Linked DNA regions of Schizosaccharomyces pombe. The protein of the gene in region 1 interacts with the protein of each later gene in a biochemical or structural test. Each region holds a gene or a part of one and is shown on either strand. Other genes may lie near its edges.

Evidence for each region.
Region 2: of the proteins of dbp10 (region 1) and lkh1, one has a biochemical effect on the other in vitro, tested with the Schizosaccharomyces pombe proteins (one large-scale study listed by BioGRID).
Region 3: of the proteins of dbp10 (region 1) and dsk1, one has a biochemical effect on the other in vitro, tested with the Schizosaccharomyces pombe proteins (one large-scale study listed by BioGRID).

The regions. Positions count from the first base shown.
Region 1 is NC_003424.3:396,869-403,969, reverse strand, and holds dbp10 (ATP-dependent RNA helicase Dbp10), read left to right. Parts: upstream 1-1,723; 5' UTR 1,724-1,775; coding exon 1,776-1,998; exon of another isoform or gene 1,999-2,098; coding exon 2,099-4,422; 3' UTR 4,423-4,508; downstream 4,509-7,101. Other genes in the region: AP-2 adaptor complex subunit Apm4, read left to right, coding at 1-157; mrp20 (mitochondrial 54S ribosomal protein uL23m), read right to left, coding at 425-910; ATP synthase complex assembly protein atp25, read right to left, coding at 4,633-6,261; adherin Mis4, read left to right, coding at 7,081-7,101. UniProt on the Schizosaccharomyces pombe protein: ATP-binding RNA helicase involved in the biogenesis of 60S ribosomal subunits and is required for the normal formation of 25S and 5.8S rRNAs.
Region 2 is NC_003424.3:654,460-663,154, reverse strand, and holds lkh1 (dual-specificity), read left to right. Parts: upstream 1-2,977; 5' UTR 2,978-4,322; coding exon 4,323-6,395; 3' UTR 6,396-6,914; downstream 6,915-8,695. Other genes in the region: 3' tRNA-processing endonuclease tRNAse Z L2 Trz1, read right to left, coding at 6,915-8,695. UniProt on the Schizosaccharomyces pombe protein: Protein kinase that may act as a negative regulator of filamentous growth and flocculation. Appears to have a role in normal cell wall and septum formation and in cell separation.
Region 3 is NC_003423.3:823,508-830,845, forward strand, and holds dsk1 (SR protein-specific kinase Dsk1), read right to left. Parts: upstream 4,426-7,338; 5' UTR 4,307-4,425; coding exon 2,672-4,306; 3' UTR 2,241-2,671; coding exon of another isoform or gene 1,738-2,240; 3' UTR 1,682-1,737; coding exon of another isoform or gene 1,558-1,681; 3' UTR 1,493-1,557; coding exon of another isoform or gene 1,367-1,492; 3' UTR 1,298-1,366; downstream 1-1,297. Other genes in the region: lsc1 (Lsk1 associated cyclin), read left to right, coding at 867-1,027, 1,072-1,153, 1,367-1,492, 1,558-1,681, 1,738-2,240; SPOM_SPBC530.15C (spermidine family transporter), read right to left, coding at 5,584-7,134. UniProt on the Schizosaccharomyces pombe protein: May play an important role in mitotic control by altering cellular location, degree of phosphorylation and kinase activity. Abundant expression accelerates the exit when cells are in M-phase and also delays the entry into mitosis when cells are in G2.

The DNA.
Region 1 (7,101 bases):
GCCTCCAATATCCTTAGATTTCAATATTCTTATGTTTACCAGCTCCGGTCTACATGTGCAATACTTAAGGGTCAGTGAACCTTCTAATAGCAAATACAAAAGTATTAAATGGGTAAGGTACTCAACTAGGGCTGGAACTTGCGAGATACGCATTTAAGAAGTATTGTGATACAAAATTATTATTTTATTAATTGACGACCGTGCTTTTCCGACATGAAAAGAATTTCCAAAATAGTTTTAGAACATTTCAAAATGAAACAAGTGGCGTTGAAAGTTTAATAGATGAAAGAAGAGAGGTTATAATGAATGCAATTAAACACCATACCGCTTCGATGAGGCATTTGAGGCTATAATTATGCTTTTGTAGGCATTAATGAATAGACGGAAACCAAAATAAAACATTACCTGGGAAATGAAAAAAATACTAATACTTTTTCTTTAAAAGTCTAGCGATTTTCTGTTGTGATTCGAGTATCTGCTTATCTTGTAACTTACTTAACTCTTCGTTCACCCGTTTCATGTCAACTTGTTCAAGGACCTTTGGATACCTGCTCAGGGTTTTCACATTAGAACCATCAGGAAGTAATTCACCCTCCTGCCAATCTTTCAAATCATTTGGGGCATTTGGGTAAACGAAAGGTTCTTCCATCTCAACGATGACGCGTTTTTCAGATTGTGGTCTCTTAACCTGTCCTAGTTGATTTCTAAAAAGTTTGCCCTGATAAATTCTTGACTTAACTGATACGACTTTTAAATTGTACACATGTTGCAAATAATCGCGAACATCAAACTTGTTAACATGAAGAGGTACGCGAAATACTGCAAATTTAGGTTGAAGATTTAGTCCTCTGCATAACGTGAACGTTATATTTGGAAAGTACACTAATCTTTTCCCAGCAATTTTACTCATATTTACTATTGAGTTTCAACTTCAAGGCTAAAGCAACTTGTGCTAGTTATGCAAAAAAAGAGAAACAAATGGTTTTTCTCAACAGTAGATTTCAAGATGAATTTGATGTCAACGGCCTTAGGTAAACGATTAGTTATTAACCATTTGTTGGATTACGGAGTTCAAATGTTGTTTAGTACTAACGTGCTGAGAATCCGGTTGCTTTATTGCATCAAAGCTCAGTTGTATACTATTAACAAATAACGTCTCTGGTTGTATTATCCTAGAACGTAATATATGTAAGCTACGCAATTTGGTATCTGATTTAAGGATACGTAGAACTGCGGTGAGTTTTCCTTGTGATCTATTATATTGTAATACGCAAGTAGTATAAGTAGGAATTGGATATAGGTATTCTAATATATAGGATATATCGTTATCTATAGCTGAGATATCTTATAACTGAACTGAGGAATCAAATTCAGTTGTTCTCAATTTATAACATTTGAAATAACAAGGATTATAACTGATAGTCATCTTATCATAAATGATATTATATCCTTCTAGATAACTTATCATGTAAAGCTGATAGAGCAAATAGAACATTATGAACATGTGACATATAGTGATACACAACGTAGTATATCGTAGCGTAGTGTAGTATTGCTGACATATAAAGCAGCTTATTTCAAGTTCGTTATAGTTTATTAAAATACGTTGGATTACTTATTTTTAATATAAAGAAACGCAGCAGAACAATTGAAATGAGAATGTTAAATCAAACTTAAGAAGGCCCTTTTGATAGTTGTTATTCATACGGTAAATTTTCTTGCCAGCGACACTAGAGAACTAAAAAATCAACAAAAGTGCAGCTCACTCGTCTTAAATGTCCGGATTCCAGACGTCCGACGAGGTCGATATATCAAATTCTTTAAAAGCTTTTCCTGTTGATATTGCTACTGATAATCAAAAAGATAAGCACGAAAATGTTGGTGAAAATGTGAGCGATGAAGATGATGGTAATTATATTGCCTCGAAGCTTTTGGAGTCTAACAGGAGGACGAAGGGAAAAAAGGGGAATGGAAAGGCTTCTAATTTCCAATCGATGGGTATGTTAACTTCGTGATTACTTGCCATAAGGTCACTTTGCATTATGCTTCAAGACACTGTAATCTAAATTACTTTGATATTTTTCTAACTTAATTATAGGATTGAATCAAACTTTACTTCGAGCAATATTTAAGAAGGGTTTTAAAGCTCCTACGCCGATTCAGCGCAAAACGATTCCCCTTTTATTGGAAGGTCGTGATGTTGTAGGTATGGCACGTACTGGATCAGGTAAAACTGCAGCTTTTGTTATACCTATGATTGAGCATTTGAAGTCCACTCTAGCAAACTCTAATACTCGCGCCTTAATTCTCTCGCCAAATCGAGAACTTGCTCTTCAGACTGTGAAAGTCGTCAAAGACTTTTCTAAAGGTACGGATCTTCGATCTGTCGCTATCGTCGGTGGCGTCAGTCTAGAGGAGCAATTTAGTTTGCTATCCGGAAAACCCGATATTGTGGTCGCAACTCCTGGAAGATTTCTACATTTAAAGGTGGAAATGAAATTGGAGTTGAGTTCAATCGAGTATGTCGTTTTCGATGAGGCCGATAGACTTTTTGAAATGGGTTTTGCTGCTCAATTGACAGAGATTTTACATGCTTTGCCGACTTCTCGTCAAACTCTTCTCTTCTCTGCCACACTTCCACGTACTCTTGTTGATTTTGCAAAGGCTGGACTTCAAGACCCGGTTCTTGTACGCCTTGATGTAGAATCCAAGGTTTCCGCGGATCTACAAAGTGCCTTTTTTTCTGTTAAAACCGCTGAACGCGAAGCTGCTCTCTTATGTATACTACAAGATATCATTAAGCTTCCTCTAAAAGATAACGTGCGCCCAAGAGAAATAGGAAATGTCAATAATCCGAAGAAAAGAAAACGTGCATTAGAATTAGCGCTTAAAGGAAGTGAATCTGGATCACCAGATTCTACTCTAGTATTTGTTCCTACAAAACATCATGTCGAGTATGTTTCTGAGTTACTTGTTCAAGCAGGATATTCGGTTTCAAAAATTTACGGGTCTTTGGACCAAGAAGCGCGTCTCAATGAAATTAATAATTTTCGACTTGGAAAAACAAATTTACTAGTCGTTACAGACGTAGCTTCTCGTGGTATTGACATCCCATTACTTGCTAATGTTATTAATTATGATTTCCCTCCTCAACCAAAAGTTTTTGTTCACCGTGTAGGACGTACAGCTCGAGCAGGACGCACTGGCTGGGCGTATTCATTGGTTAGAGCAGAAGATGCTGGTTATTTATTAGACTTACAACTATTTTTAAACCGACCTTTAGTTACATCCTCGAAGCAGGTTAAAACTGACTCGGATTGTGATTTTACAAAACAGATTGTTTTGGGATCATTACCCCAAGAACTTGTTGCTGAGCTACTAGAATGGGTACAAAGAATAGTTTCGAGAGACGTTGAGCTACAGCAACTTTCCAACGTTGCTGCAAGGGGTGAGAAACTATATTTTCGCACAAGAGCTACTTGTAGTGCTGAGAGTGCTAAAAGAGCTAAGGAATTGGTTGATAGCAAGGGCTGGAGTTCCAACAATCCATTATTTGGAGATGTATCGGTAATTGAGGCCGAGGAGAAATATGCTGAATTGCTTTCAAAAGTTTCTTCTTATCGGCCATCAGAAACAGTATTTGAAATCGGTCAGCGTGGTCACTTAAAGACAGAAGCTGCAGAAATCATGCGGAAAAGAAGAAACAAAGTAAAACCAAAAGGAATAAAATCTGAAGTTGCATCTGATAAAATCACTGACAGTTCTCCTGGTAATATGTCAGAAGCTTCAGAGTCAGAGCTTGAAGAGGTATTTAAAAATCCTAAGGAGTTATCAAAAAAGAAGACAACTGATTTTAAAGATAAAGAGTATTATATGTCTCATTACGCTCCAAAGGAATCTATTCAAGAAACTGGCTATGCTATAAATTCTGGTGAAAATTTTACTACCGCAGCTCGTCATGCTATTCTCGATTTAACAAATGACGAAGGAATTGAACAATCAAGGAAGGGGGGACAACGTTGGGATCCAAAGAAAAAGAAATTTGTTAATATAATTAACGACGAAGACGGGTCCAAAGGGTCTCCCAAGATAATTCGTGGCGAAAGCGGCGTGAAATTGCCTGCAACATATCGTAGTGGTCGTTTTGATGAATGGAAAGCATCTAAAGCATTCGGTGCCAACGATTCTCCTATACGGGAAAATAAGCGATATAAACATAATAAGTTACAGACTCCAAAACCAGCTGATAAGTTCCGTGATAACTATCACAAACAAAATAAACGTAATAGAGAGGCTAAAGAAAGAGGAATAGGTATTAAGGTGAACAGTGAGCTTAAATCAGCTGTTGAAATTAGAAAGGCGCGTGAGCTCAAAGAGAAACGACTTGCCAAAAACAATCGGCCGTCAAAAAAGCATCGATAATTTATATTTTTGGGTAACTAAATGCATGAATTTTTGCATCGGCGTTAAAAAATTTTAGTTTAGGTTTATTTACAACTGGGTAAATTATAAAATACTATTGTTAATATTTATTACTTGTTCTTATTGAACTAATGAAAGAAGGGGTAGGTTTTAAAGTAAACATTACAAATGCGCGTATATGCATACGTAGAAAGTACAATAACATCAGATTCAATGCGTCATTGAGTTTTCCATTTTTGCAATATAATTTCGCACTGATGGAAACGAATGTGCATACTTTTCGGGTAAGCTTTGAACACATTTTTTTAAAGATGTCGCCATTAATTTACTAGCTGGAATGGGGGGTGACTGGCTAACCATATCCTCAAAAATGTTGGTAAGTACATAATTTATGACACGCTCATTTTTACTTTCGAAGGCCAAAAGGTATACGTGATTGTATAAACGTTCATTGAAAACAACACCAGCCTTTCTAAGATTATCCCAACGACGCCAAACTTCGCTCCAACGATTGCTTTTTGCCAATATAAATTGCATGAGTAGAAACGTGTCAATAGTCATGGGTATTCCATAACGGTTCATAATCCTTTCCAAAAGAAATATGCGGTTGTCGAGAAAGAAGTTTGACTCCCCTTTAACCATACAAGAGCATATCATAAATTTTAAAAAAAGTAGTTTTAGTGAAAATGAATCGATGGTTTTTAGATCGACTAAAGATTTATACATTAGTGAAAGATACAACATCCGCTCACTAACCAAATTTTTAGAGTGTTTAGAAGCCATACTCAACTTTGTTGGAGACAAAGCTATAGTACTGAAAAGCGTATTGATATCCTTTGTAGTCAGTTGCAAAGAAGAATCTTTTCGAAGTCGCTCAAAAATTGAAAGAGTAAAATCCAAAGAAAAATTATTAGGATTTTGGAGATGCATTTTCTTATATTTTTCCAAAGTACTCGTCAGATTTTGTGAATTGACGTTTAACAAGATATCCTGGGTATCGCAATAAAGGGATGCGGCACTTTTTAAAGAAAAGTTACAAGTATGGAAACTTCTCCGAAATACGTTCGAGTGGTTATTAATAAAATTTGGAGGTAAAGAATTATCAGGTGTAGATTTACTAGTGAGTGAGACCCTAGATTGTTTGCCATGTTCGAGATCAGAATACAAAGTTTCATCCTTAACATGTTCAATATTGTCCAGTTTATAGTATTCCCTAAAATTTTTTGTAATTACATGAATGCTTATGCCGAAGTTTTCGATACTGAGACATGTCCAATTATTTTCAGACGTGTTTAATTGTCGGTTTGACAAATTGGAACGTTTCCTCATTCTCCGTTCTAAAATTTTTCTCCGAGATGCACTAGTAAGGCCATCTACGTTCACCGGTCCAACGTTTTTTTGTTTTAAAAGGCGAAGTAAGCCATTAGTAGCGGATACAACTTCAGATCCACAGTTGCAAGAAGCTAGTAAAATAAGATCTGAATCACACCAAAAAGAATCGGCGGGTGAGTTAACAAAACTGAGATCAGTGGCATAATACTTCTTTTTAAGAAGGTTTAACACATCAGCTAAAAAGTTTGGAGCACCTTTTGGAATAGGTGGCAGCGCAACCGCATCGAAATGCGCTTTTTTAGGAAATAGATTATGTTTTTCATCCACATACCATGGTTTTTTGCTTGAGACTTCCTCTGGTTGCGAATTAGCGTCATTACTTGAATTATCAGGAACTAAATTTTCAGGAAACTTTTGAGAAGCGAAAGGTCGTTTGTCAAATTTGCTTCGAAAAAAGGAAACACATAGTTTGTTGAAACGTAGATAATTAAAGCGATATGTGGGCATTTTTTAATAAAATATGAAATCTCAGCACAGTCATTAAAAATATAAGAATTAATATAATTGAAGTGTTACCTTATAAAGCCGAAAAAAGAATTTCTCAATGCTGTTCTATCACAGTATAACATGAAGACATTGTCTTCTGTTTGAATAGTAATAGATAAAACTTAGATTAAAGCAACAAAAATATTTAGTATGTTTTAAAACAAGACCGCAAATTATTAGGAGAAAACCAAATATTTAATGACCTTGGCACGTTTTCCTAACCAAGAGACCGATTCTAAATAGTGTTCCACTGTAGAAATACGTAATCACCAATATCCGAAATGTACGAACGTTTCTTATGTCAGCAATACTACATTACGCTATGATACACTACGTTGCGTATCACTATATGTCACATGTTCTAATTATATATCGTACCATTTATGATACGATATGGAAATTAATCTTAATGATAATCTATTAAGATCTATATTATCTGAATACTATAAATAGAGCTACTGCTGAACTCGTTCCTCAGTTCAGTTATGAGCTATATTAGTGATAGGTAACATTATAACCCAGTTAATACAATACCTATACTCAGTTGCTACTTATACAACCTGTGTATTGTAATATAATAGATCACAAGGAAAACTCACCGCAGTTCTACGTATCCTTAAATCAGATACCAAACTGCGTAGCTTACATCTTAATTGCATTTTCCCGTTTCGGTCTATTGCCTTAAACTTGTTTACGCTTTATATATACCGACGTTTCTTTGTTTTTAGATGAATGAATTTAATGATAAATACTTCCCTTTCTTAGCTTTGCAATGTTTTGATGCTTTTCGAGATGACACCT
Region 2 (8,695 bases), 260 kb from region 1:
CTCAAAATCGTTGATCAAATTCATGGTAGCTGTTTCTTGATTCACTTTTACTCGGGACTTGTAAAGCCGATTTTCGGAAAAGTGTGATGAATAAATGACGCTGTCGGAAACAACTGGTATTTTTGGGTTGGCGAGTAGGTTATTTTCTACAAAACATACAAATAATACAATACATTGCTAGCAAAATCAATAGTGCATATATAGTACTAATAACAAAGAGTATTTAAAAAACAACATATCGATTTAGCAGAAAAAAATGGGAAGGAAGGTATTGAAATAGAGGATAGATGGCATGGCTCATTAAATGTAGGAAACCAAAGTAAGGATGACTGGTTTGAGATTATTTCCTTACATCCCGTAACATGCAAAAAAATGCAGCAATTTAACACGGTGGAGGGAAAGTATCGAATTTTTTTACTGGTAAATGTAATATATTGGATTGAAACAACTCCGCTTGCCATTATTAAATAAAAAATAATTCTTTTCGTTAACTAAAAAGTGAAATCAAAATTAATTTAAAAAAAAAGAAAAGTTAAAGGAATACTATGCTACCAATATTTCCCTCGAGTTTATATTGATAAAGCATTTAGCTAGGCTTACAAATAAGTTGCTTGCTTCATATATATCTTATTACCTGTTTGATAGTGAAAAACAATATTCAGCCCCAACGGTTCGGTTCCTTTTTGCTTAATTGTACTACCACACAACACAATACAAAGCTTAAATCCTGAACCTAGGAAATGGGTATGCGGTCCGTTCAACGAATGTTGAAGTTGCATCGTCCTAGATAATCCTAGGAGCAAAAGCTTTGATTGCTTGCTCAGCCTTTGCTATGAGAAAAAGGAGTCGATAACTTGAGAACACAGCGATCGGATTTCCCTTTAAAGATGGAAGATTCATTTGTTACATAAGAAATTCATGTCAAAATGATTTCTGTTTACACTGCGTTTTATAGATGTTACTATGTATAGCAAGATTAATTAACATGTTATTGTTATTTGTTATTATGTTTTTAATACTATGTATTTATAGCATCTGTAATGTCTGCGTTTTTCAACTGCCAAAGAGCGCATTTTCTACAAGTTTCGGTTAATGTTGCAAATAACCGATTAGACTTTCATGTCATGACACTTGATTTCACTTGTGCTGACGCTTTTTTATGAACGGCATATCGCTGTTCAGCTGCTTTACCGACATGTAATGGCCAAATCTCGAGCTTGACACTTTGTAAAAAGTCTCAATAATAATTCCCCATCCACAACTGACATACATAATTGATAGTACTTACTAGCCTTTACCCTTGCCAGCCAGACAGCTTCCACTGTACTGAGGTCAGGGATCATGACATAGACTGATTGCAAATTACGAACAAGACCGTCAATCTGCACTTTAGCATCTCCTAAAATAATAATCGTTAAAGCCGACTAGCTATTAGGGATGACGGGAGGAGCAAAAAAATAGCCTGAAAAAAGAAAAAGAAAAGAAAGCGTATTTAAAGAAAGGTTAAAATTTTCTTTGTTCTTTCAATAAGTAAGCAGTTTACTCCTGGTCCAGAAGTGCGACGGACCTTGCGTGCCGGTAAGGAAGTTGCAAAAAAAAAAAAAAAGGAAAAAAAGAACCGAGATAAAGTTGACTTTCAACTTCCGTCTGCAGTAACCGGATTTCCCAAAAATTTCAACGGGTAATTCAATTATGCAAGGGGATTGTCATTCTTTTTTTTACATTTTTGAGTTTCACGACACATTAGTCCCTTAATTGCAGCTACAACCATGCCTTGTTGCCTATTTTTTTCCTTTGCTTAATTACAATTTCTCACCCCATTTGAAGTCATGTTGATTGAATTTTTCACATCCCGTTTTCAAGCTCTAACATCAGTCATTGTAGATGATTGATTGTAGAAAATTATATTTGTTTCCTTTTCGCGACCATTAAATGATTATTCAATAGTTGATGAATTATTGCCTTTGTTGTTTTGTTACTCATCATGGCAATTTTATCGTATTATTTGTTACATAGATTATTGTCATCCACTAAATTTTTTGATGGCCAAGCGTCGCTGTTTGGACGAAATATTCGATTACCGAGGACGGATGGCCATAATCAAGACTAGTTTGGTAAGAGAATTTGGCAGATGGGCTGGACGACATTTGTTGAAAGTGTGAGAAACGCTTCTGAAAAGGCATGTTTTCTATATTTCATTTCTATTCTGGTAAAGAATTGTGCGGAATACTATACCATGGACAAATGGGGCGGGCGACAAGGCAGCTACAGTATAAGCGGGCATATAGCATTCATTGTATAATACAGTATATAGTACATGGTAGGTAGAGTTGGATAGAGATGGTGAGAATGACAGTTGCATTATTTATGCGTAAAACTATATGTAAATTTTATAACTATTTATGTAAACATGCGTTTATATATGTGTATGAGTGTGCATGCTTGTGTACATTTGTGTGTGTGTGTATGTGTGGTGTGTATTGATGTTTGAATGGTATGATGACAATGATAAGCCATTTCTTACGAAAACTCCTTAAGTGAATATGGTTGAGTTGAATGGAGCGGCATTTGAATGGTAAATGATTAGTGATCTAAATTAATGAAAATTCATTCAGCGCCTCTGCCTCTACGGCCATGGCGGTTTTCGTAGATCTCAGCCCTTCAGAGTAGCAAGCGTCTCTTACGCTATAGTTGGGTGACGGCTAGGTACGTTGCATACTGCGCACATGGTGTTGTGGAATGTGTATACTTTTTCATAGGAAGGAGGTGCCAAACGCAACGCGCCTGGATGGTGATTGTTGGGTTGTTCCCTCGTCCGGCCAATTTTTTCCAGCTATTTTATTTTAAGGATAGAATAACAATGATGTTGTTCCGGTCTCACAAACATGATTATCTCATGCAAATTTCACCTTTTCTAAGTGGCTTTACCAAAGAAAACGCAACTTATTATTATCCAAACTCTTGCTAATTCCTTTTTACTTTCTCCACATCCCTCGAATTGGCTTGAGGCTTTTTCTTTTATCCTTTCTATCCTCAATTACTAGTTTTCTTAGCAGTTGTATTATTAGGACATTGCTTTGTTGTTTTACCCCCCCCCCATTGGAATTACATTCTGTGGGATTGAAGGAAAGAAAAAGAAAATTGCTTATTAAGAGTCGTATATACTTCATTCTTCAATTTACTACACTCACTACTTGCTTTTCTCCATCTACGATCTACCATTTTGTTAGGTAGACTTTCGTACTACAGCTACATCGCTTGTCGTCGACTTTGTGTGCTTTTGAAAACTGCCCTGGTAATTGCCGATTCTTTTGGGGGTTATTTATACTTTTGTTTTATCCAAATTACTAATCCGCCTGATTTGGACATTGATCAATTTTGGTAGTAGCGCAATCGCACCCCCTCAAACACAAAAACCTCATCATTGTCTCATGGTACAATATTGCCTTGGAACATCATTACTTTAAAGCAATACGATTGATACAAAGGTTTCCGCTAGTTGTTGATTGAAGGTTTGGTGTTTATCGTTTTTTCGTGTTTGATTTGCCTTTACAGACCCTCCGTGTTCGGCATACTTATTCTCCGGTATTGTAGATATTTATTTCTCTCCGATACCTTTTTGCATTTGCTGTTTCTCTTTACTGTTGCACCCTACATTTGATTGAGAAAGGGGTTTAGTGGTTGTCGTCAATTGTCTTTATTCTGAGAAAACGGCTTTCTTCTCCCTGATATAAGAAACCATTTGGTTTGATAAATATATTTCAAGTTCACTTTCTCACTGTTTTCCGCTTCTTTGCTGATTTATCGTTTGATCGACGGCCTTGCAATTTTACAACGTCGAGAATTTTAACTTCTTTCTTCGTGATTGCATTCAAATTTTGAAACTCTTTCGAAGTAGGTGTACCAGTTAACTTGATTGCTCATTCTTCCTCCCATTCTCTGCTTCTTGATGAACTAGCTGTTCTGGTCCAACACCAATTGTCGAATGCTTGTCAGTTCAGTTCTATTGCTTTAATTCGTCCATTTTTTATTTTTATTTTTTAAATTCCGCCTTTCTATTTTGTTCTTACCCTTCGACGAGTCGAAAAAAAAGGTTTTTTATTGCTTTTGTCGCTTGGTGACTTCGAACAAGGAAACTTTTCCCCTTATTATTGTTTGAGAAACACTTATTTTCGGTGGTTGGTATCTCTTTTCATCATTTTTGCTTCTGGTTTTGCATAATTCTAAAAGATACTTATCCCTTTTTTCAGGTTTCGACGTCTTCTACCTCTTCACTTTACCAATTTGCTCGCATGACTTAGACGGAATCTTTTTATTGTAAAATGCATTCCTTAAAACGTCGTAGAAATCATGCGCCTGATTGGCAGGACTTTTATAAAAATGGTGTTCCACAAGAAGTCATTGTTATAGAGGACTCAGCTTCTCCACGGCTTACCCCTAATTTACCGCCTCCTTTTTCTGTTCATCAATTACAATCCTTCGTACCTCCGCAACCTCCCTCATCATCATCACCCTCTACCACTGGCACTGTGGCAGTCCCTATCAATGGTGCGAATGCTGTTTATCCATCAACTAACTCGGTATCTCTTCCTCAATCCTATGATCCATGGTTGGATGCTAATGGCGTCGTTCCATTACCGCATGATGTCGCCAGCCATCCTTCATATATGGTTCAGTCTCCTACATCGTATCATGCGTGTTCAAATAATCAATCGCCATTTCCCCATTCACATCATCCTCCCCTTCATAATCCACTACCTGTTTCATGTCAACCTGTTTTACGGCCGCCTCCTGTCCCTCAAGTTCCTTCACACTGGTACCCGGTTTCGCTTCCCTCTCCTAATTTACCTCACCAACCAATTTCTAAACCTCCAGTGATCCCTAATTTACCAAAGCTCCAAGTCCATCCGAACAGGCTTCCACATCCCATCCATAATCATCCTTACTCGTCTCCAACCTCTTATCCTCCCCCACTATGTCCTGCAACGTATTGTCCTTCTAACCCTCCTCAGCTAGCTCCGGCTACTGCTATCGCTCCTTCCTCGCAATCGTCTCAACATAAAAGTGTAAATTATTCCGTCACCCCAAGTTCCATTAACAATCATACCGCTGTACCATTATCTCCAACGCTGGCCGTATGGCTTCCGATGACTCAACCAACTTTCCAACCTCCTTCTGCAAACGTTTATCAACCGGCTTCTAATGCCAATCAAGTTATCACTCCTGTATCTATTTCCGATTATCGACCTCCGAAGAAAAGGAAGCGAGCTGCATGGCCCCCATATAAAAAAGTCGACCGCGTAAATGTTCCTGTTGTGCATGATACTACCGCTTTTGATCCATCAACTTTTGATGATGATGACGGTCATTACAAGGTTGTACCTAACTCCAAATTTGCCAACCGTTATACAGTTGTTCGTTTGCTTGGGCACGGTACTTTTGGCAAAGTTATCCAGTGTTACGATCAAAGTACAGGTAGACATTGTGCTATCAAGGTGACTCGAGCAATTCCAAAGTACAGAGAAGCTAGTCTCATTGAATTAAGAGTTTTACAAACTATAGCTCATAGTGATCCGACAAATGAAAATAAGTGCATTCAGTTACGCGATTATTTCGATTACCGCAAGCACATCTGCATTGTGACTGATCTTTTTGGCTGGAGTGTCTTTGATTTTTTAAAGAATAACAACTACATTCCTTTCCCTTTGAAGCATATTCAGATGCTATCCCAACAACTTTTTAAAAGTGTTGCGTTTCTTCACTCTTTGGGACTAGTACATACCGATCTTAAACCCGAAAATGTTCTTCTGGTATCTAATGCCTCAAGAACTATTCGATTACCTTATCGGAATTATTCACAGAAAGTCCTTAATAGTTGTGAAATCCGGCTTATCGACTTTGGTAGTGCAACATTTGAAGATGAATACCATTCCAGTGTAGTGAGTACTCGTCATTATCGTGCTCCAGAGATTATTTTAGGGTTGGGTTGGTCTTATCCTTGCGATGTTTGGAGTATTGGATGTATTTTAGTTGAGTTATTCACGGGACAAGCCTTGTTTCAAACCCATGAAGATAGTGAGCATCTGTGCATGATGGAAAAAATCCTGGGTCCCTTTGATAGGAATATGATTTCGCGTTCCTCTCGTACATCGCAACGTTTTTTTAAATCTGACGGAAAAGTCCGTTATCCTTTGTCAAATACGCCTAAAAAAAGCATTAATTATCTTCAATCTCTGCAAACGCTAGAGCAAATATTTGCAGTATCATCTCCAGAAGTGGCTTTGCTGCTTGATTTATTGAAAAAAGTATTCGTTTACGATCCTAAGCGGCGAATAACTGCAAAAGAGGCCCTTTGGCATCCCTTTTTCACCCAACCAATTTCTTCAAATTTGTGATGGATAAACTTAGAGATTTATAATTTACTTCATGTTTTTCAATAATTTTCACTCTTTCTAATTTACAAATCTACGGAAGTCTCGTATTTCTGGTTTGTGTTACGCTTTAGCTGATGTTTATTCGTTTGTTATTATTCAGTTTCTTAGACGAAAACTCGCATGTTCTACAATTACTTTAATTGCATAGAGTACTTGGTTATCCGATATAAATTAAAACTCAAAATTGTCCTCTTTTTAGATTATTCCATAAAGGTTTGATTAAGTCGTCAATTACACTCGTAAATTTTGGTCCTTGGGTTAAATAGTAGTTACTCAGTGAAATAAAAGAAAAAAAGATCATTAATGGTTTTCAGGACTATTTTAATAGATACGGATTACCTTGACAATTTTTTTGAAGTCTGAAGTATTTTGTTATGAACATAATTGTATAATGAAGAAAAGGTTTGCCCATTTCATTAAACAACAGAGATCACTTGCCTGAGACCCAATTTATATAATATGAGACAATAGCTCAAGTAGTTAGAACTTTAAAGGATCCGACTCCTCTTTTAAATTTTCCTCATTAAATAGATAAGCCAGAGGCTTTCCAAAATAACGAAACAATGAGATATCCGATATTTTAAGAGTCATTCCATCAAACGCCAAAGCTATATGTAAGTCTTCTGTCGAAATATCAATGTCTGGTAATTTGGGATATCGTTGGCTAAAATGAGTCAAAATAACGTTTTTTGTACCAGCTTTTTTGGCCACTTCTAAAGCTTCAGAGTAAGTACTGTGTTGCTTTTTTATTGCAATTTCGTGCATAGAGTCTTCCAAAGTAGCTTCGTGAATTAATAAAGTTGAGTCTTTGGCAATGTTAGCAAAATCCTCAGAAGGTCGAGTATCTCCAGAGTATGCGATCTTCCAACCACTGGAATTAGTAATCTCCATGCAATATGAATACGGGCAGTGTATGGCAGGAACCGTTCGAAAAGATACTAAATCAAATTCTTTAAATAAAGAAGACAACCTAGAGGATTCCAAAGCAGACGGCTTCCTGTCAGTACGTAAAGCACTATTGGAAATAAATACGATGTTGGATAATGGTAGATAATCAATCCTTGAGTATTCTAGTAGCCAAAATTCAAATTGTGGAGGTGCTGTTATAAACAACTTTGATCTGCCATCTGAGTACTTCGTCCAAGCCTTTAAAACCCCTATAACACCAGCATGATGGTCAGCATGCATATGGGAGATATAAATCCATCGTAAAGAAGCTATTTCGTATTTTAAATTGTCACCATACTGCCTCGATAGACGTCCCAAAGTGCCCTCTCCACAGTCCAAAAGTATGTTTTTCATACTGATAGCTGAGTCTTCCATACATTTTTTGTCAACGGGAATTCTAACGTAAGTAGATGAAACATTTCTGTATAAAGAAGGCATTGCAGATCCAGTGCCAAGAGTACAAATTTGGATGTCAGAACCTGCAAAGCTCGGTGCCTTTGGTTTATCACTAACATATTTTTGAGCTTCTTCAACAAATGATTTATAATCTGGTTTCTCTTTCAAAATTTTATCCTTCAACTCTTCAATCGAAACCCCAACTTCCGAATCGTCAATACCAGTTTTTTTTCCAAACGCAAAACGCAGTTTGGGTTTGGCAAAAGCAATTCGATTGTTTTTTTGTACATTTTTAACTTCATAGCAGTTAAAGCCTAAAGGAAAAACTTTTGAATCTAACAAATTAAGTGTTGCAATAGCGACTGCACTCCTAGGATAATTTATTACTTCGTTTACTTCAGTCGAAGCAATTAGATGGCTCACCTCACTTGGGAATGAAGAAATCCAGCTCTGATAACGTGGATTTTTGTATACTTCTGGTGTAACCGAATGAATGACACAAACAGGTTTAGGTGCATTTGTCCATTTATGATTTTCAATGACCAAGTCAATTACGAGTTCGTTGGGGCAATGAATAATAAAAAAGGAGGAGCCAGGAATAGAAGGACCAATCACTTCTTTTGGATATACTGTTTTTCCGTTTTCAAGAGTTACAGGTTCTCCTCGAGCGAGTCTACCACAGTCTAATCCTTTCGTGATACCAAGCGATTTTGCTTTTGCGGCGTCAAATTTCCCTGGGGTAGGATGGGATTGAACAATATAAGAAATAAACAGCTCTGGCTTGTCTGGTTCCAAAGGAGCCGGAGTGTTATACATTGCATTCTCAACGACGAATGATGTATCATTGGAAACGTGAGAATACCAATGAGGAGAAGTATTTGCTCTATCCTCTTTTAATGGTCTTGCATTTGTACCTC
Region 3 (7,338 bases), on another chromosome or scaffold:
TTATTTATTATTAAAATTACCATCCTAAAATTGAATCCTGGTATCACCATAAAATTATTCAGTTGTGGGCCTTTCTCATGTACTAAGCATGGTAAATTATCATTAATAAAGAAGTGAAAATACATATCTTCTTGTGCAGCAGAATTTAAATTATAATGAACGTAAAAATTGCTGAAATAATGAAGCAATGTATAGTATAAATAATTAAAAGATATTATCATCCTATATCTACTAGTTTAATAAGAAAAAAAATAAGAGAGTTTCACTTTAAAAGATTGAAAGGAAAGCTTTCAGGAAATGTTTGGCGTTTATAATCGCAAAAATTAATTAGTTAATAAGAATATGCAAAATGATAGAATTATTAGGAAAATATGAATTTATTAGATGTTTAATGTTTTCTTATGATAGCTCAATTTGACGAAATGTCTGTTTCATTAGACAAAAAAAAATGCAAAAAATATTTTAATTAACAGACAAATTGGCGTGAAGGTCATAGCGTCTCTATTCCTTACTTAAATAACTAATTTACTAAAATCATGTTGTAGTGTAGGAGTTCGCTACTTTCAGAAATTAAACGACGAACACTCCGAAGGTTAAACAATCATTTTATTTTAGAAATGAGTAATTTCATAACTCTTTTACAATAGCACGCAGGACTGTCATAATTTACAAATTCAATAACTGCGAACATTTCCATGATAATTTCGAGCTGCAATTGCTGAATTAAAATTATTTTATTTTAATTGATTTACAGTATACAACATGATAAAATGCGTTACTTAAAAGGAATCGCTTAACTTCAGCATACTTGCACCTTGCAGGTAAAGCCAGGCCTTCACAAACCCAGCACCATTTTAGCTGCTAAAATGGCAGAAAATGAGAATCATGTACTTTCAATACGAATGTCACACCCATACTATTCAGAAAAAGAAATAAGTCGAATTTTGTCGACGCGAGATCCCAAAGAAAATAATTTGCGAATGCAGGCGTTCGCTTGGATATCAACACTTTCAAAAACTTTAAAATTGTATGCTTTTCCTCAAAATTATCTAGAATCTAACTTTTTTTTAGCCCTGTAAGGACCAGCGGCCTTGCAATGCTTTTATACAGTCGTTTCCAACTATTTTTTCCCGTGAATGAAATTCCTTTGCTGGTATGTTATTTGGATGTCTTTCGCACATGAGTATGCTGTGCTATTTGAAATTTTACGTATTCTGATATAAGAATATTCTGAATGCTGTACATTGGTCATACTATTAAAAAAGACTACAGTTTTTAATAATGTTAGCTCAGCTACTCCAAGTTATAAACATCATATTCTCTTGATTTAGGCTCTTTTTCTTTCAAAAATAACTAACACATTTAGGAGTGCGCTACTGCTTGCTTAGTAGTTGCTAGTAAAATCGAAGATACGGCCAAAAAGTTTCGTGATATTCTTTTAGCACATTATCTTCAAAAGCATCCAGGTTCTGAGGTCGATGCTCATTCACAAGTATGTTACAAGGTGCGCAATAATTGTTTTTTGTTTATAAGGAGACTTGCTTACAGGTGTATTAGCTAATCGAAGAGAACAAGAAGAGGATTCTAGGTTTAGAAAGAATGACACTGGAATTGATTTGTTTCGATTTTCGAGTCCGACATCCACACAATTACATGGTAAAATTTGCAAAATCACTGAAATGTATGACTGCTATTCATTTTACCTTATAATTTTCGAGTTAACTAATTTACTTTCAGTTTCATCTTCCACGGCAAGTATAGCTTGGAATGTCTGCACTGATGCTTATAAAACATACACAATGTTAAAATATCCAGCCCATATTGTTGCCGTCGCATCGATTTCTATTGCTTGCAAGTTACAGCAACTTCCTCAACCTATAATTCCCAGATCGTTCTTCGCTCCACCAGCACTAACGGAAGCAGTGATTGCGGATATACTCGATCTATATATGCATTATCAGCCTCACACTTGCATTGGTAATATGTATACAACGGAAAAATTACTTGGATTATGTGTTGACTTCCAACGAGCCCAAAAAAACTCTGGCCGTCCTCAAAAACCACCCCAAATTGACCCTCATTCTTCTTCTTTAGCAGATGAATACCGTGAGTCAAATAAGAGACTTCAAGAATCCAAAGAAAGTTGTGCCAGATTTATTTTAGACTGCGATAGAAAGTATTTTAATACCGAATTTGAAAAACGAATGCTGGAAGAAAGGAGAAATAAAGGTACGGTTTAATCTAATGGTTCCTTAATGAGTTATCTTACCATCGGTTTGTTCCTTCTTTCGACAGCATTCTGAACAGTATATTAATATGTGACATTACAAGTTACCAATTTCCAATTAACTTCCTTTTGAATGACAAAACTTTATTTTATGCGTTTTCTAAACATAATATGATTTAAAAAGCAGCTGACCTAAACCCTGCTATATCTTAAATATTCATTAAGTAAAAGGAAATTTCGTTCAAATTTCAGTGCAGTAAATGTTGATCAAAAGAAGGAATCGTGATAATCATACGTAACCCATTTCAGAGTGAAAGGTGTCATGCTTTTTTAAAGCAATCACGCTAATGGTGGGAAATTAAAAAAGGGACGATATCGCAAAAAAAAACTATATATAAAAAAAAATCATTTACTAGCGCTTCAAAACCAATATCAAGGTAAACACTAACGAATTTCAGTAGCCCATCCGGGTACATCTTCACCGGTTGCTCCAGTAGTCTCGATTTTGAACGTAGGATCAGCCACTTCGCGCAACCATGGAGAATTGCTCATGTAACCAGCATTGGTTCGCTTGGCAGGATCAAAACATAACATAGGAGATAAAAAGTCTGATATTTGTTGAGCCAACTCGGCTGAAAAATGGTATTTTTGCTCCAAAACATCTTTTAAAGGCCAAAACTTCAATTTATGAATATTTCGGAGTTCACCGCGACGGTTAAATAAATCGCGGGAGTGCTTTCCTGAAAGTGCCATTTGCTTAGGATAATTAACCAATAACTCAATAATTTGGGCAATGTGGTCATCCTCCTTAGAATAAGAATTCCCATTCCGTGGATCGAAAAGGTAATCGCCGGTTAGCAATTCAAAAATGATACAGGCAAAACTCCAGCAATCAGCGGAAGCTCCCCAGCGACATCCTAGAATTACTTCTGGAGACCTATACTGACGGGTTTGCACATCGTTGGTGAAATGCTTCCGTGTCCAGCACGCGTTACCGAGATCGGCAATTTTAACAGTGATTTTTGGAACGGGTTCCTGAGAACCGTTAACACCATCAAGTATAAGAGAATTATCTCCACTAGAAAACGGAGAATTAGGATGAGAATTATGCTTTTGAGAGTCACGAAGGCTGATTTCTGAAACAGCACCTTCTAATGAAGGAAAGCGGCTCAAAGTGGAAGTAAAAGGACTGCTAGGAATGACCTGGCCAGCAGGCTTAGAATTCTTAGTTGGATTTTTTGCAAATGTCTTGCGTTCTTGGGCAGAGTTATCTACAGATTGGCCACGTTTAATAATTGGAGCTTTGGCTGTATAACCAGTGTTATTTCTTGTTTTTGAAGAAGAGGTATTAGAAGTGGGGGAGGAAGTTGTTGCAGGTGCCTCAATATGTTGCAAGGCATCCTGATCAATGCATATTAAAACATTTTCGGGTTTAAGATCAGTATGAATGATCCCGCATTCTCGATGCAAGTAATCCAGAGCGATGAGTAATTGGTAGGCAATTTGCTTTACAATACCCACAGGTACTCCTCGATGGCCGTATGACTGTATCAAACTTAAAAGATTCTCACCGAGAACTTCGAATACCATACAGACATGAGCTCCATTAGGACCACGATGCACAAAATAATCGAGCAAAGAAATGATATGCTTTTTGCCCAAATGCTTTTCGTCCCCTTCTCTAATTTTCTGCAAAATGCGAATTTCATCAATTGAGGTCTCTCGATAGTGCTCTGCTGAACGCACCACCTTCAAAGCTACTCTCCGTTTGGCAGCTCGATCATATGCAAGCCAAACCGTTGAAAAATGTCCCCAGCCTAATTTTCTTTCAACGACATATCGACGGTGATGAAATTCTTCACCAATGTAGACTGGGTGGTATCCACCATAGTGATAGTCCTCTGCATTTTCTTCGTGCGTTTTTACCTTTTCCACCATGCTTTTTCCGTCTACTTCAGCATTGACCTTTTTATTAACATTTTTTCCATTCGTGATCACCTTTTCACTGACATGGTCAACTATTTCAGTGTGTCCCGGTTGTGACACTTTCGGTGACAAACTCGACCCGTCACTTCCCATTTCAAAATGGCTGGCTGCCCCGTATGAAGAAACTACTGATATGTCCCTCCAGCTCTTAAATTAAAATATCTGAGATATGTGAATACACCAATTCCTTCGTTGTTGTTGTTGTTTGTTCTGGTTATAAATACGGTATGGAGTAGTATTTTTAGTGCGAAAATCAACACGGGGAAACACCGTGGAGTCTTAGCACACTACCGAGGAAACTTTGCGCATTAGGAAGAGCGTTTCGATATAGTAAATAACAAAAAATGGGAAAATGGTTTACTAATTATTTTACGCCAGTAGGAGAAGCCACCTTTACACTCCGTTACTGTACCATAAATATTTTAATAATACTACTTAAAAATCCGTATATATGAATACCAATGACTAAGGCATCACTAAAAATATCAGCAGTTGATAGAATATGAACCCCCTGCGCTTTCATCCCATCGCTATCCCTTACTAACTACTTTTACCGAAGTAGCCCAGCCGTTAGAATTCCATAAGATGTGTTAAGGTCTTCCAAATTTATATCGTTATCCATTATAACTGTATCCCATTCAGCTCTTAGATCTCGACAGGATAGCTAGAAAAAATGTAAACAATTCTTGAGTCGTTGAAAAGAGGGATATTTAAGATCTGTTTTCTCTCTCAACATACGGCGTTCTTAAAATGAAAATTCTCAGATAATGTTCTAGCTTTACGGCATTCACACCTACGGCCCGAGATCTACTACCTACTCACACTAACCGTGATTCTACGGGCAAGACCTGGACTCGAAAACATTCAATTACATTGATAAAAACGGGATATAATAAATTGACAAGTATGGCCTGTGCTAACAGTTATTTTTGTTGAGGTCTTAGCAATGTATTATGGTAAACGGAAATCATATGTAAGGTTCATAACCAACCAATAAATATAAATGTCTATTTGAAAGGTACTTTTTTTGTGATGATCAGAAACATAAAGGAAACGGAGATCAACAAAAGTAATCATTGAGGATGATGAATTATTAAAGAAGTCACAAAAAGACAAAAGAAAGAGGCAGCGGGTAATAGAGATCATTTAAAACAAAGTCCATCGTTTCTAAATATCTAAACGGCAGCAAACTGGTTAAATTAACGAAAATAACAATAACAACAAGTAAATGCTGAGGCCATTAACCCAAGGCAACAAACCGCGGGCATGGTTTCTGAATAAAAAAGATGAATATAACAGAAATAAGAAAAACAAAAACTGGAAAAGAGAGGGTCAAGCAAATCAACTAAAAAGCGGACTTCTATGACGAATTAATCCTTTAGACAGTGCTTGCTCATTTGTCGTAATTTCGGCCCATATAAAAACAACATAAAAGGAACTGGAATAAGCCCAACTGCAACAAATCCGACCAGAGAACCAGCCCAACCAATTCCCAAATTATTGAACATTTGGGTTGTAAAAAGAGGAAATGCCGCGCCAAACGAACTTCTAAGTAATGTATTGGCCGCGATTGCAGAAGCAGAACATCCACTATAACAATCAATGATATAATTGATTGTTTGTTGAAAAATTGTAATGATTCCAAAGCCAATAAAACTACCTGCCAAAGTTGGAACAATCCAATGAATCCATGGATAATTACCAGTCCAAGCAAGCCAAAAGATGCCAATGGGAAAGACAATGCAACCGATCATCATGGAGGGAAGTCGTGCTTCAGGAACAGGTCTTCCTTTATTTTCATCCATCTTTTTAAAATAGTAGGGCTGGAACAGGGCAACGCTAGAGCATCCAATACAAACACCAACAAAAATAGCCAAATACGGAAGAGATTCAACACCCAACCTCCATTTTCGACTCTCCCCAAAAATAACTGGGTATGCTTCAAGTAATCCATAAAGGATACCATATACGAAAGCGGTATAAGTTGAAACCACAAGTAATATGGGCTCAAATATTAAAAGACGGAGAGGAAATGTGAAGTATTTGTGGAAAAAGTATGAGAATTCCAAGGGCTCTTCTTCTGATTTGGCATGTAAGCAATAGTTCCCAGTAAGTACTCTCACCTTGGACGCTCGTATCTCTGTAATTGTGCGGGTATATGTCTCACGGTGAAATATAATCATAGATGTAAATGCTGTGAATCCCATGATTGCAGTAATGTAGGACGTCCATCTCCATCCCAAGTATGATTTTCCAATAAAACCACCAACAATTGGACTCATTAACGGTCCATTAAAAATAATAGCAGAGTAAACTGCAATCACAAGACCACGAGTTCGAGCACTGAACATATCCGAAAAGGAACCAGCGACAGTCGTAATTGGTGAACTACCAAAAAATCCACAAAAGAAACGACAGATCATAACGGTTTGGATATCTTTGGCCGTCGCAACGGCAATATGGAAAATACAGAAGATAAATACAGCAATAATCATTGGTCGTCTACGACCAAATAATTCACACATAGGAGCCCATACAACAGGTCCTGAGGCAAATCCAAGGACGTAAAGACTAATTCCCAGTAAAGCCACCGTGCGACAAACGTGAAATTTGACCATAACCTCGGGTACAGCACCTGAGAAAATAGAAGAACCAAAACCGGCGCACAAACACGCACTGCCCATAACAGCTACGTTACGAAGCTTTTTGGCTAAAGGCCAATTAACAGCCAAGTCAGGGTCATCAGGGCCGTCTAATGTGACTATGAAATCCTGAGGATTGCTAATGACCGGATATTTTTTGAGAGATTCTTCTAATTCCGAAGAGACAGAGGATTGATACCGATCATGATGATTGGATTGCTGTTTTTCAAGGTCGAAGCTAGCACTTTCGCTTGACGATTCTGAAGTACGTTCGGCCATGAGTATAGAGAGATGGGTTTAAACACCTTCGATAATGTTGAATTGAGCGACAAAGGAAGATTAGACAAGCGTGTGCATAGGATATAAAATAATACTATACAACGCTTTTATGATAGTAAAAACTGGATATAGTGAAATCAACCCACTATCCGTATTGAAAGGAAATATGTATAACTTTCAAAATGCAAAAATTGAAATAGAGAA